Linked DNA regions of Danio rerio. The protein of the gene in region 1 interacts with the protein of each later gene in a pairwise test. Links are inferred from orthologs where the notes say so. Each region holds a gene or a part of one and is shown in the gene's direction. Other genes may lie near its edges.

Evidence for each region.
Region 2: the proteins of sh3gl3a (region 1) and atxn2 interact in binary tests that used the Homo sapiens proteins (3 or more experiments, as listed by UniProt). The link is inferred for Danio rerio from reciprocal best matches to the Homo sapiens genes SH3GL3 and ATXN2.
Region 3: the proteins of sh3gl3a (region 1) and rpl35a interact in a two-hybrid assay, tested with the Homo sapiens proteins (2 studies listed by BioGRID and IntAct). The link is inferred for Danio rerio from reciprocal best matches to the Homo sapiens genes SH3GL3 and RPL35A.

The regions. Positions count from the first base shown.
Region 1 is NC_133182.1:12,818,090-12,822,791, reverse strand, and holds part of sh3gl3a (endophilin-A3a), read left to right. Parts: intron 1-1,452; coding exon 1,453-1,611; intron 1,612-3,355; coding exon 3,356-3,459; intron 3,460-3,859; coding exon 3,860-3,984; intron 3,985-4,702. UniProt on the Homo sapiens protein: Implicated in endocytosis. May recruit other proteins to membranes with high curvature.
Region 2 is NC_133180.1:42,591,185-42,596,611, reverse strand, and holds the start of atxn2 (ataxin-2), read left to right. Parts: upstream 1-2,046; 5' UTR 2,047-2,434; coding exon 2,435-2,553; intron 2,554-4,430; coding exon 4,431-4,464; intron 4,465-5,181; coding exon 5,182-5,241; intron 5,242-5,350; coding exon 5,351-5,422; intron 5,423-5,427. Other genes in the region: cfap251 (cilia- and flagella-associated protein 251), read right to left, coding at 1-215. UniProt on the Homo sapiens protein: Involved in EGFR trafficking, acting as negative regulator of endocytic EGFR internalization at the plasma membrane.
Region 3 is NC_133193.1:48,778,235-48,783,726, forward strand, and holds the start of rpl35a (large ribosomal subunit protein eL33), read left to right. Parts: upstream 1-2,111; 5' UTR 2,112-2,138; intron 2,139-2,609; 5' UTR 2,610-2,636; coding exon 2,637-2,647; intron 2,648-5,032; coding exon 5,033-5,185; intron 5,186-5,492.

The DNA.
Region 1 (4,702 bases):
TGGAAAAATTATTTGATCCGTTCATTTCTCGAGTCCTCGGTTTGTCGTACGTTTATCATGTGAAAGACAGAAGCCAGTCATATGTAGTCAAAGCTAGAAAAAGATTTGATCCATTCATTTCTTGATTCCTTGGTTTGAGTCGTTTGTTCATGTGAATGACAAAAGCCAACCATATGCAGTCAAAGTCAGAAAAAGATTTGATTCGTTCATTTCTCGAGTCCTCAGGTTTGAGGTGTTCATTCATCGTGTGAAAGACAGAAGTCAATCCTAAGCCAGAAAAAGATTTGCTCCGTTCATTTCTTGAGTCCTCGGTTTGAGTTGTTCGTTCATCATATGAAAGGCAAAAGCCAATCATATTCTGTTAGAGCTGGAAACAATTTGATCCGTTCATTTCTCAAGTCCTCAGGTTTGAGTCGTTTGTTTATCATGTGAAAGACAGAAGTCAATCATATATAGTCAAAGCCGGAAAAATATTTGATTCGTTCATTTCTCGAGTGTTCGGTTTGAGACGTTTGTTCATTGTATGAAAGACAGAAGCCAATCATTTGCAGTCAGAGCTGGAAAAAGATTTGTTTCTTTCATTACTCGAGTTCTCAGGTTTGAGTCATTCGTTCATTGCATGAAAGACAGAAGCCAATCAAATGTAGTCAAAGCCGGAAAAAGATTTGATCCATTCATCTCTCGAGTCCTCAGGTTTGAGACGTTGTTCATTGTGTGAAAGACAAGCCAATCATTTGCAGTCAGAGCTGGAAAAAGATTTGTTTCGTTCATTTCTTGAGTCCTCAGGTTTGAGTCGTTCATTCATCGTGTGAAAGACAGAAGCCAATCATATGTAGTCAAAGCTGGAAAAAGATTTGATCCTTTAATTTTTCCAGTGCTCGGTTTTAATCATTCATCTCTTTACGTGCTGTCGTAATGAACAAACGACTCAAAAACCCGAAGATTTGAATGGTGAACTAATCATAGCTCCTTTTGGCTCAGATTGTGTGCATTGGTTAAGCTTTTATGGGACTGTCTATCTCTCGTGAACAAACGACTCAATTTTGTAGACATGTCAGAAGAGGTGAGCTGAGCTAATCATAGACAAAAGCATTCTAGATATGGCTTGTTTGTAGTGTGATCAATGCTTGGGCTAGTTGTGGATGTGTTTGGAAGCAACTTGTAACATTTTAATAATATTACAGCAAATTGTACGAAATGACTCAAAGATTCGTTCATCTCACTGAACGAAACTCAAAGGGCTGAGTCTTCCTATCATTAGTTTTAGCCATGTCAGTCACATAGAACAAAACTGCACATTTCTAAGCACTTCACAGGAATTTAAAGCTTAATGATTAATAGCTCTTCTGATTAATTGATCAATATTGTTGTATGGTTAGCATTATCGGTCAGTAGATTATCTTTCTTGGCTGATTGCGTAATGTAAGAATGTCTTTGTGTGTTTCTCGACAGCATCATCTAAAGAAGCTGGAGGGTCGACGGTTAGACTTTGACTACAAGAAGAAGCGTCAGGGCAAGATTCCCGATGAGGAGATCAAACAGGCCGTGGAGAAGTTTGAGGAGTCCAAAGAGCTCGCCGAGAGGAGCATGTTCAACTTTCTGGAGAACGATGTAAGAGGCAGTTTATGAGGGGTCAAAACGATGCGATACAAGTATAATCCAGCTTTCTTTTTAGTTTAACTCAGTTTTATTGATGCATGTTAGTCAGAGAGGTACAGTATCATATATAAAGAATCTCAAGACATCAATTAATACAGCTTTTTTAATGTAAGTTTAACTGTGTTCTTCTTAATTAATCTTTTATTGGAATAAACTATCATATAGTACCATTTTTACCATGATGTACCTACATTCGCTAAAATGCCATTCAGTGTAGTACACTTTAAACAAATTAAGACTATGAGGGGTCCAAAACAATTCAATACAAGTATAATACTTTGTTTCAAAATCAAATCAAATTAAAACGAATCAAATTACTTTTTTGTCACATCAACAGCAGCATGTGTACTATGATGAGTGAAAAGCTTTGTTGCTGGCTCCAGACAGTGCACAATACAACAATATGCTCTAAGAAACAAAACAATATACAGTTAGCAATGTTAACAGTAATACATAAAAGACAATTAATACATGAAGGACAATAAATGCGTCAAGAAAAACACACATGTGGGCACAGATAGACAAGTACACAGTCAAAAAGGTGTACACGTAGTTTGACTGTTGCTGGAAAATATTGTAGGCAATATTGTTTTAGGTAAGGATTTGGTTAATTAGAATTCCTTACATTTATATAACGCTTTTCTAGACGCTCAAAGTGCTTTACACACATTTAGAGGACATTTACATATTGTGCCAGATCACACACCACACATCAACTGATTGATGGAGAGACGGCAGAGTGATGAAGCCAATTATGATATGGGGATTGTTAGGAGGCCATGATGGACAGGCCAGTGGGCAAAATTGTCTCTTTTCGAAGGAAACATTTGAAGAATTTTTAATGACCACAGAGAGTCAGGACCTAGGTTTATTGTCTCATCCGAAAAACGGCGCTCACTGAGCAGTATAGAGTCCCCTTCACTATACTGGGGCGTTAGGACCCACTCAGACCTCTGCTGTTTCCACTAACACCACTTCCAGCAGCAACCTAGCTTTCTAATGTGGTCTCCCATCCAGGTACTGACTGGGCGCAGCCCTAATTAGCTTCAGTGGGCGACCATGTGAGAGTTGCAGAGATCTAGCTGCTGGTTAAAGTGCATTAAAGTGCATGCTAAACCTTGATGGTATGCAGTGAGGGGTATGTAAATAAGTCTAACAGTTTTATTGATACATATTATTCAGAGAGTTACAGTATCAAATATAAATAATCAAAAGACATCAATTAATACAGCTTTTTTATTGACATTTTTTTATTGACAAAAAATAAGCAAATACACTTAATTTACATTGGAAATTGTCATATTTAATAAATATTTTGCCAAATGCTATATTTACAGTATTATTACTTCAACTGTATGTCTGTAAAGTGCTTACGAAATACATTAATCAATATTAATCTTGTCTATTTAATTTGTATAATAATTTTTTTTTTGTATTTTGTATTATTAACATTTCATATATATATATATATATATATATATATATATATATATATATATATATATATATATATATATATATATATATATATATATATATATATATATGTTTATATGTTATAATATTTATTTATTTATTTATTTTTTCATTATTTCTATTTTTAATACTTGAGGAAGCTGGCATTGTATCACACTGTAAATAAGCCTTTGACTAACTAATAACCTGTATAAACGCATTGTGCCGCTCTGACCTGCAGGTGGAGCAGGTGAGTCAGTTATCAGCTCTAATTGAGGCAGCGCTAGAATACCATAGACAGTCTCTGGAGATCCTGAAGGACCTCGACAGCAAACTACAGAACAGGTGCCTTTAACCACACACACACACACACACACACACACACACACACACACACACACACACACACACACACACACACACACACACACACACACCCTCTCATTCAGTAGAAAACATCCAGTACCCAGTCTATATTCATAAAAGCATTACTGATACGACATATTTATATCTACTCTTTATCTATGTTCTGTGCTGAAAAGGTAATTGGAACATTTGAATCTTACAGTTCCAATTTTAATATTATTATTATTACTATTATTATTATTATTATTTGTTTCATCTCCTTGCTTTGGATGCCAGGCAAACACTTTTATTTTATTCTATGTGTATTTTGTGAACGAAATAAAGATTTACTTTAATATACAATTGAGTTAGTAATATATTTTGGCATCTGATGTTGCAGGATATCTACAGCAAGCCGTCGGCCCAAAAAAGAGTTCAAGCCAAAGTCAATAGTGTCCAGTTTGGAGAGCGTGGAGAACACACAGCACAATGGACTTTCACACACCTCATCAATCAAATCCACAGGTATCCACAACAAAACATCTTGACATTTAAGAAGACAGATTTCATAAGCTTTAGTCTAAGCAGAAACATACAGACACACATGAGAGCAGAATGTTCTTTTTTTATTGTCATAACTTGTATCTGTTAAAATACTTTTAAATCCTTATATTAGCAGTTTTTTTAATGTGGTGGAAGAATTTTGGATACTGTATTTTTTGATAAATCTTTCATTTATTCATGTGAATGTTTTTTATGAAAAATTATGTAAATTATGCAAAAATTAAATGTACTTTTTTGTGTTTCTTACAAATCTACACTACTTGACAAAGTCTTGTTGTCAATCCCAGTTGTTAGAGCAACAAATAATAGCTTGACTTCTAGTTGATCAATTGGAAAAGTGGCAGAAGGTCGATTTCTCTGATAAATCATCTGTTAAGCTGCATCCCAATCATCACAAATACTGCACAAGACCTATTGGAACCAGCATCGACCCAAGATTCTTAAGAAATCAGTCAGTTTTGGTGAAAAAAAAAGTCATGGTTTGGGGTTACATTCATATGGGGGTGTGCAAGAGATCTGCAGAGTGGACGGCAACATCAACAGCCTGAGGTATCAACACATTTGTGCTGCCCATTACATTACAAACCACAGGAGAGGGCAAATTCTTCAGCAGGATAGCGCTCCTTCTCATACTTCAGCCTCCACATCAAAGCTCCTGAAAGCAAAGAAGGTCAAGGTG
Region 2 (5,427 bases), on another chromosome or scaffold:
TTGTTGGTCTCTTTGGGAATGGCAGGCAATGATGTGGCTGTGTAAATTTGTGAATCAGCAGTATCCTCTTGTTGACTGGGTAGATCACTTCTTTTTTCAACCTCTCCTGTTGCTTCATCTCCATCGTGTGATTCTTTCTTTATCTGATTATTTTCTGTGCTTTTCGGCTCCCCTGTGTCTTCAGCTTCTGAAGACTTTCCGTTTTCCGTTGACATTATGAGTTGTAAAAGCAAAAGCCAGTCTCTTTTTGCGACAGTCCTGTCTCCGTGGCGTCGAAACACCCCTAAGTTATGCCAAAGATTTGTTTAAAAAAGTCTTAATTGAGTAATTCGTAAACACAAATATAACGTTAACCATACTTTTAATCGTACAAACACAAATGTCTCGCACAGAAGAAACGATGAAGTTGTCGTTTATTTATCCGGTGTAACTACCCACGCATCCCGTTGCTAGGATACGGTCACGTGGGGGTAATCAACAGCCTGAGAGCGGTTGTTGACGAGAAGTTCACAAGTTAGGCTATTATTTATATTTTTTTATTAAAATTTTCAATAATTGTTAAATCCTATCTAGACTTCACCCCTCTGAGAGCATACAGGGTTCATAAGATTTTTTATTTAAAATATGATCACACAATACAGTTTCTACATTTCATTTTTTTAAATCTTGCCATAAACATTATTAGCTAAATAATGATGGACTATATAACCTGATTTTTAAAATTTTTATTTTAATGTTATTTTCTAAGAACCTCTGAGCCACTGATTTTAGAGGAAACGCCAATGCTGACTGTGCTGCTTGATATTTTTTAAGGAAACCGAAACATATTTAGTTGTCTTTAATGAGTTGAAAAAAAACAGCATTAATGTACTTTTGTTAAATAAAAGTATTTCGTTAAACCAATTCACAGAACAACAGGCCCTTAAGCAGACTATTGAAATGGTGGTTCTGTGGACCTTTTTACAGTTATTTAATTTCTAATAAATTATAAGGTTCAAATATGGCATTTTAAGTGACATTTTCAAGCACTAATCTTTGTTGGATTAGCTTTTCGGATGGTCATCAAAACCACAATCTTTGATGGAACAAAAATATTTCCTTTAATTTTGTCAGAAATGTTCACTATACTATTTTACCATGTGCATTTAAACTGTACGTTATTTACAGTTTTCTTTCGAACCACCCGAAGCACCCTGGCTACAGACCTGTACAAAGAATCTACATTTTTACATTATCAACTTTATTGTGTAAGATTTATAGGCATTTTTCCTTTTTTTTTCTTATCTAAATTATTTAGGTCCACATATGACAAGTTTATGAGTATTTGTGCATTCAGGTTAAAACCATTGACTTCTATTTTCTTTTTCCACTATTGAAGTTAATCGTTACAGATTTTTAGCTTTCTTCAAAATATCTTCTTTTCCTGAAGGTTTGAAACCAAATGAGGGCGAGTGAATTTTGAGTAAATTTTTATTTTTGGATGAACTATTCATGTAATTTCAAGTTAATTACATATTTTAAATCACAAAAAAAAAAAAAACTAAAACATACACAAAGAGGAAAATGAGTCAATGGAAAAACATTGTTTAGTTGACCATATTTAGATCAAGGGTTACATGAGGATAACGCTTTATTTAATAATTGCTTAAAATCTCAAAGCAGAGAGTAAAATAGTGTATATTAATTAGATTACTGTTTTAAATATTAAACTCGAAGAAATAAAACTAATCAGAACAACTAGGCCAAATAGAGCTTGAAGAATTTAACTGTATATATTTCACCACCAGTCACCTGGTCTAGCGCCAAAGCACACACGCACAAAGTGATCAGTGCATCTTCTGAAAATAGTGCGCTCGACATATGCGCATCATTCCTCAAATCTAACATTCATCCATTTCTAATATTATCTGAATAGTGTATTACGTTCTTAGAATATTTACAATAACTATTGACGATCATTTCTTCTGGAACCAATAAAACCATCAATAGGAGTACACACATTCCTGGGATGTGTATATATCCTTCCGCCACTTTTTGTGGCTTTTCAGACTGTTTAGGTCTATCGGTCAGTGCTGAAGCCCCGCGTGAACTGTGTATATCACTGAAAATACCGCACTAAAAATAACAAAATAGCGAAATTACCGGGTTGGTATTTTTGTAGACATCTAAAACATATGGGTCGTCCGCGCTTTGCTTTTAAAACGGGCTGAATTGTCTCTGTTTAGGAGGAATTAATCAGCAGAGCTAGCTGAAGTAGCAGGCAGCGTCAGTGGAGACTCGAGTAACTGGAGGAGCAGTTTTACACGTTGGCTGTCACTAGATCAACTGTCAGCTAACACGTCAAATAGCATTTTCCGCTCTCGTCCGCGGCATCAAACGTTTTTTTTCCAAACAGTCAGACAACTCTGCTCAAGCTGTCGTTTATGGGATCATCATGTCCATGAAGCCGCAGGCCGGTGGTAATCGCAAACCCGGCGGAAGCAACAGCGGAGCCGCTGCGGCCTCCGGTACCGGGGGAGCAGGAGGAGGCGTCGGACGCCAGAACATGGGCAGGTGGGTGACCAATCTGCATAACAGGCTTTTAATTCGGATGGACCGACGAGCGTGAACCAACACGGGAATGCGGCATGCCTGCACTAGTGTCGTAGTTTAAAAACGCAGGTTGTGGAGTTGCAGTGATCAGGATAGAGCGCAAGTAGGCCGATATAGGCCAAGTTCACAGGACAGGGATTCACAGGTTAATGGACGCAAACTACTGCGGTTATAAAATAACAGCTGATAGCGGACAACATGTTCGTGTATATTTCGAGAGGGGCGGGTTGTCTGCTGTGGGTGCTGGTCACGTTCAGGATGAATTGTGCGTCTTTGCCGGTGGGATATGGCTGTGCCAGCTTTTCCCAGGACAGATGCTTTTGTATCGTGTCGGAATCTGTTATAGGATTGAACGTGTTTGACATTTTAGTCACTTACAAAGAAATAATCTGAGAGTCATAACGTTACAGTGGGTATAGAAGCAAGTGTTAGCCTGCTAACTACTGTAGCAAACATTTATCTGCTCATACTGTCAGAAATCTGTCTAATTTAACAGGATTTAAAGTATGTTTTGTAGATTAACATCATTCAGGTTTTTGGTCATTATGTAATCGAGAGATCATAGTTTTTCTACAACGTTTTACCAATTGCTTCTGATTTGTGTCAGTCCAAACAAAAAAGGGTTGTTTGCTACAGATAACGTTACCTAGTTTTATGCTTTTATCTTCCCGTCAGCTGATTTGTAACCTCTTCTGAGGTGCCCCTGAATCGATGTTTTGGGAATTCATCATCCATTATGAGATGTCACATGTTAGCTCTCTGTTTGACTATTGACAATGACATTAACTCAGCGTCCGATTTAGATTTCTTGAATTCCGTTAGCTGAGGGCCACTAGGTCGAATCTGCGTGTTTCCCGTTACTTTTCGATTGATCCTTCATGTTGGAACTATCTGTCAGTCGCGTGCATTTCCGATGAGGGGCGGCGCGCGCGCTCACGAGGACAAGCGCTTAGTAGAGTGGAAAGTCAGAGAGCTGCACTCTCAACCTTGACGTTTACAAGAGGTTGCATGCATAAGTCTGTCCTTGCATAATGACGTTTGAGTAAGTATGTTGTGTAGAGGTGTGACAGACGAATGTTATTGTCGTGGTTTGTGTTGAGCTGTCATGAATGAAGAAATTAACAGTGGAAACTTTTAATCTAACAGCTGAGAATTGGCATCACATAGTTGCACACTGCATGGGGAAAATGTGATTATTGTTTACGCAAAACAACAAGAGTGATATGACTTGTACAAGATTGTGGGAATCTTGAGTGGTGCAGTGGAGCCTTTCACTGCCTGTAATGCAGCACTTGATTTGCAGCCTGGCTGTTGAAAAATAATTGTCATTCACAGCTTTTATCTTACTAATGTATTTTAATGTACTAGATGCTGATAGTTTTTGCCTAATCTTTGAGCACTGAACTTATTTTGCTGCACATTAGAGATCTTGTTGAAATTTTGTCCAACACATTGAAAGCTTTACAATTCAGAATCTGTCATATGTTTGAGGTATATGGCTGTTAGTGGATATGAGTCACGTACTGTCAGTAAAATGCAGATTTTCTTTTTAGAGTCTGTTGTTTGGGAACTACATAAGTGCTTCTTTGCACAATGAATTGCATGAAGCATATGATTATTTGTCACTCCTTTGTCATTACAGCTTTGAGTGTTTGCCAGTACATGTGCAATCGATAACCCTACTGGAATCACTTGAATTTGTGTTCGTAGGAGTGTGTGACTTTTTTTGCTCTTTAAACCGTGTGTACAGCATGTCAAAGATTTTCTGTGTATGCATATGGTTATAGTTCAACTGTTATAAAACTTCTCAGTCATGCTGTTTTCTCTCCTCCCAACAGAGGACGCAACAATGCCAAAGGACCCTCTACTGCAGTGAGTTTCGGCTTTTCTTTTTTTCATTTATTCATAGTGTAAATTTATTAAATTGATTCGCATACAAATTTATATTCCCTGTTGAATCATATATACAGTGCTCAGCTTAATTGAGTACACCCCGTTTCGAAAATAAATATTTTTATCCATTTCTCAGTAAATATAGGCAATGTAGTTTGGTGCATTTAAACAAAACAGGTTTATTAAACAGATGTATTTATTAAAGTTATATTTTAGTCACCAGACATATTTAGAAGTATAGAGTATTTAGAAATAATACAATTAATAAATTTGTAGGTTGTATTTTTTTCCCGATATTTTACTTGAATTTAATCAAGCAAAAAAATTACAACCTACAAATTTTCAACTTAATTTTTAAATTTTTGCTTCTTGTTTTTTCCTCATTTTAAATTTTTGTTTAATATTTTTCTATAACAGATATATGTGGGTGTACTAGTTTTTTGGGCCTTCATCGTAAGTTATTTTGTTAGATAAACTCCAGATTTGGCTTCAGTACTGACTAATGGCACAAATATAATATTGTATAGCTTCCTGTTAAAATATGAACATAAAAGATAGATTTTTGAGGGGTGTACTTGTATATGCTGAGCACTGTATCAGCACATTGAAAGCTGCTCAGCCAATTAAAATATAGATACTTGTAAATTGTATATCTCTTTACCTCAGGCAGAAATGTTGTTGATTGTTCTTTTTTAGGTGGCCTTCAATGGAGTTTATGCAAACATGAGGATGGTTCATGTTTTGACCTCAGTTGTGGTAAGTATAAATGCACAGCTGTAATTATATTCTTTTTTTAATCAGTTTTACCAAAGCACAACAAATACACTCCTACTGAAATTTCGTTTTCTGGTTCACCACTCAACAGGGAACCAAATGTGAACTTAAGGTTAAAAATGGCCTGATCTATGAAGGGGTTTTTAAAACATATGGCCCAGAGGTAAG
Region 3 (5,492 bases), on another chromosome or scaffold:
TGTCGGCTGCACATCCATGATGCGAATCTCCCGTTCCAGCATACAAAGGTGCTCTATTGGATTGAGTGTTGATTGTGTGTGTGAGGATTGGTGTGTGTTGCCTGTTTGTTGATTTATTAATGGTAATATACTAAATCAATATTCAATGAGATTAATAAACAGTTATTTCCAGATGTGACGTGACGTGTTCAATCATTCATTTTCTTTTTGGCTTAGTCCCTTTATTAATCTGGGGTCACCACAGTGGAATGAACCGCCAAATTATCCAGCACATGTTTTACGCAGCGGATGCCCTTCCAGCCGCAACCCATCTCTGGGATGCCATCCATACACACTCATACACTACGGACAATTTAGTCTACCCAATTCACCTGCACTTTATGTCTTTGGACTGTGGGGGAAACCGGAGCACCTGGAATGAACCGCCAATTTATCCATCATATGTTTTACACAGCGGATGCCCTTCCAACTGCAACCCAGTACTGGAAAACACCCATACACACTCATTCACACTCATACACTACGGCCAATTTAGTTTATTCAATTCACCTATAGCGCATGTCTTTAGATTGTAGGGGAAACCGGAGCACCCAGAGGAAACTCAAGACAACACGAGGAGAACATGCAAACTCCGCACAGAAATGCAAACTGATCCAACAGAGACATGAATCAGCAACTTTCTTGCTGTGAGGCAACAGTGCTAACCACTGAGCCACTGCGCCATCCTGGATGCATTCATGATAGAAAAAACTCATACACCTCCAGGTTGCCTTTTGAGGTTGATTAAATCTGAATAGAAGTGAATTTCGAGGACTTCCTATGAGGTTAAAATTGTTCAGAAAGCATTATCATTTTAAGGGGGGGAAAATTCAATTCATCTTTATTTCAATAGCACTTTTGCAATGTAGATTGTGTCAACGCAGGTTAACATAGACGATCATAGTAAATTGAAACTGTCAGTCCAGTTTTCAGAGTTTAAGTTCAGTTCAGTGTGGTTTAATTTTCACTGCTGAAAGTCAAAACATTGAAGAGCACATCCATCGATGCGCAGCTCTAGGGTCCCAAACCATGCAAGCCAGTGGCGAGGAACAAACTTCACCAATTTGCGAGAGTGAGGAAAAAAAAAACCTAGAGGGAAACCTGGCTCAGGTGGGCACGACCATTTCTTCTATTACCAATGTCTTGTGCAGAGCTGCAGTCTAGGCACCGCTAGGCACCGATGGACGTCCATCGTGGAGAAGCTGCAGATGGGAGAGGTCACCGGCTGGTGTACAGGCTGGGCCACAGGATCAATGCGGAGACTCGTCTGTCTGTCACTGGGGTCTTACAGGAATCAGTCTCATGCTCTTCACTCCTCCAAGATCATCACAGCAGCTGCTCAGGACACGGTCTGGTCCAGGATTATGGAAACCTTGAGAATGATTAAAAAAGACTAACCAAAATGGAAAATGGTTCATATTTCATCAATCGTGGCAACAGACAGTTAACATTGGCTCAGGTTAAATTTGTTGGACTTTACCCTACACCCCCAGAGTCAAAGATTGGTCATATGCTTCAAATAAGCTCAAATCAACTTAATGAATCAAATGGATAAAGCAGATATGAGGTTAAACACACAAACAAAAGTTCATATATTTGATCAAAACAGGATTAATGGATAAAACAAAGTTAAAAAACATCTTAAATCCTTGAAAATATATCAGTACAATGAAAAGCTGGATATAATTAGTGAGTATAAACAACTCCAGTGAAATACCAAACTAGCCTAACGTAAAATAAAAAATGAAATATGCAACTACAATTTCAATATATAATAGATGTGCAAACAAAATAGAAATGGATTATATTTTATATATTATTTTAAAAATTTTACTTTTAATACTTTTGAATGATTTTTGTATGTTATTGTTGATGATAATATATAGGTTAATGTGGAATACAAATAAATATAATAACATATATATTTTTATGAACAACTGTCCCCATATTTGCAAGTAATTCAGTTATATCCACGAAGAAATATAAATGAGGAACATCCCGCTTTAATTTCAGTCAGGCAGATCTTCAGCCGCCGCTGCTAACATTTTCCCAGCGTTCCTTGCGAGCGGCCTTTTCCTCCATTTTTGAGATAGAATCAGGTGAGCGTTTAACAGCTCGACTTTTAAAATGTGATGTTTTAGCCTCATCTGATGTAAACTAAACCACGATTTACACTAATATAGATGAACACATTAATTAAGTCCATATACAGATGATTTCGCCTCTGTGGGACGTAAGATGCTTTGGATTTGAAACGGATTGTATGGTCCACTCGGCTCCAGCTAAACCGAGACCCGGAGCTCATTTCTGCCTTTCGCAAACGTGTTATTAAAGTATACTTTTAAGCTTGAGTTTTGTAGAACATTTACATGTCTAATTTCCTTATTTCTAGTAAGTAATAATAACCATGAAGCAAGTAAGTTTGTGTAAGAACGTGTTAGCATTTAGCATAAACATGCAGCAGCTCCGACATTACTTTGAATGCAGCCAGCACAAATGTATTTAAGACACAACGAGCTCACATTTTTGATCCTCACACTTAAATGTGTTCGTATTGTTTTGTTATTTAGGTTTGTTAGCCTGGTCAAAGGATCATCATGCCCGGAAGGTAAGACTCGAAAAGCTGTCAGTGTTGTAAATTTGAGTTGATGGAGAAATGTTCACAAACTTTATCAAGCGTTAATCTTTTGTCTATTGCTCAGCCACTTATTTAATGTGAATTGTAATCAATGCACAATTTTTGAAGAAGATATGGAGTCTTTCGAACTGATTATTTAGGTTTATTTTATATAAGTTAAAGTGAGATGACATCTATTAGCTAAGTTAAATGCCTGTCATACCTGACTTATTTAAATCTATAAAACAGGGATCATCAGACTTGTTCCTGGAGGGCCGGTGTCCTGCAGATTTTAGCTCCAGCCCTAATCAAACACACCTGAACAAGCCAATCAAGGTCTTACTAGGTATACTTGAAACACCCAGGCAGGTGTGTTGAGGCAAGTTGGAGCTGAACTCTGCAGGGCACCGGACCTCCAGGAACGAGATTGGTGACCCTTGTTATAAAGGAATTGTGATGTTGGAATTTGAGGTAAAGTTGGTTTATATTTGCACCTTTAGACTTTCGCCACATTAATATTCTTAATATCCTATTCTTAATGCAACCTCTTTCAGCAGAAGTATTGTTTGCAAATTCTAAACAGGGAAATCATTACCAGGCAATGACTGTCAAAGGAAATTGTTCATGGTCAATTTAATAGTGCTAATGTTGTTTTGAAGTCTTGCAAACAATATCAGTTGACTGAATATTCAAAGTAGTGTGGTAAACGTATAGGGAGCATGTCACAAGTTGTCACTGTTCAAAAATGAACGAATGTGTAAATATAAAACTAACTTTACCACAATTAGAATTTTTAGGTTGATGGTATTGTGGTGTTGGCAAATTACGCTATTACATTTTCAAATATATTTCTATAAATCGCTTAAGCTTATGCATCATTAAAAGGTCTAACTAATCTGTTTGATATTGTTTTGAAAAATAAACCCCTTTATTTTAGTTGTACATTTTTTTCTGATATTTTTATTTTATTTTATGCTGATTTTTACATTTTGGAGTTCTATTAAGATTTTTCTAATTGTTAGTTGGTGTAATGTTCTTTCAACCTTAAAAAAAACAGGTAAATTTGGTTTTCTATTTGCACGTGCGGACTTTTTGATAATATAATTTCAGAAAAGTATTCTTTGTAAACTCTAAATAGGGAAATCATATAAGCAGCCAATGACTGTCAAAGTACAACGTTGTTCACAGTCAATTAAACAGTGCTGATGTTGTTTTGAAGTCATACTTGCATACGATTTCAGACCAAATATTTAGTAGCGTTGTTCACAATATAGGGACTCTGCCACAAGTTGTCACTGAACAAATATGTGACTAAAACCAACTTTACCTCATTTTGAATTTTTAGGTTCATGATATTGTGATGTTGGCCAATTACTTGGTTAATAAGCGACTCTCTTTTTCAACAAGATTTTTTCAAATCCCTGAAGCTTATGGATCATAGCCCATAGCTAATCTTTTGAAGGTCTTTTTTGAGGAGTGAGCCCCTTTATTTTGATTTTGTACTGTTATAATTTAATTTACCTTGTTGTTTGTACTTTTTGGAAATCCATTAAGATTTTTTTAACTATTGTTTCTAGGTATTATCTTTCAACCGTAAAAAACATTGAGGTGAAGTTGATTTATATTCACACATGCTGACTTTCTCTTTAGTAATAACATTTCAGAAAAATATTCCTTGCAAATTCTAAATCATATTATCAGCCAGTGACTATTAAAGTACAACATTTAGTCAATTAAACAGTGCTGATTTTGTTTTGAAGTCATACTTGCATGCAATATTACACTCAATATTCAAAGTAGTGTGGTAAACAGTATAGGGACTGTGCCACAAGTTAAATTTTTGGGTTGATGATATTGTGGTGTTGGCCAATAACTTGATTCATAAACCACTTTTTTACTTTCTAAAAGATTTCTTTAAGTCCCTAATGCTTTTGTGTCATTAAAAGCCCCATAACTAATCTATTGAAGGTCTTTTATTGAAAAGTGAGCCCCTTTATTTTGTTTTTGCACTTTGTTATAATTTATTTAATTTGCTTTGTTTTTTTTTCATGCTGATTTGTACTTTTTGGAAATCTATTAAGATTTTTCTAGCTGTTGTTTCTTGGTATTATTTTTCAACCATAAAAACATATTGAGGTAAAGTTGGTTTTGTATTCGCACGTGCTGACTTTCTCTTTGGTAATATTATTTCAGATGAGTACAATGTTGTTCAAGTTGTTTTTTACATGCTATTTCCGACTGAATATTCAAAGTAGCTCAATAAATAATAAAGGAACTGTGTCAAGTTGTCACTGAATGAACGTGCGAGTATGAAGCCAACTTTACCTTAAATTATACTTTAACATGGCTGAAAATGATCAAACTGTCTGTTTTTAGGCTGTGGAGCAAGGCCATCTTTGCTGGCTACAAGCGTGGCCTGAGGAACCAGCGTGAGCACACAGCTCTGCTAAAGTTAGAGGGAGTTTACAACCGTGGCGAGGTCGACTTCTACCTGGGCAAACGCTGTGCCTACGTCTACAAGGCCAAAAAGTAAGTGAATGACACTGCTGTGTGTTTATGGGACAAGTAGCATGAGTGAGGAAAATTTTGTGCTGGTGTCCTGACATTTTATCCTACCCATCAGATTATGTTGCCCATACTGTATTTGAATGGTTCTGATATTGGGGTTAGGGATTAGGTAGGTTAGGGCGATATTACAGCTTCATATCACACTACTCCATATTAAAATTTACACTTGTAGCAAAGTCTGATAGGTAGCATATTGATTTTTCTACCTACTTTTTGAAGGGGAGGTTGGACAGTCTGACAACGTTGGACAAATTGACAGAACACTAGA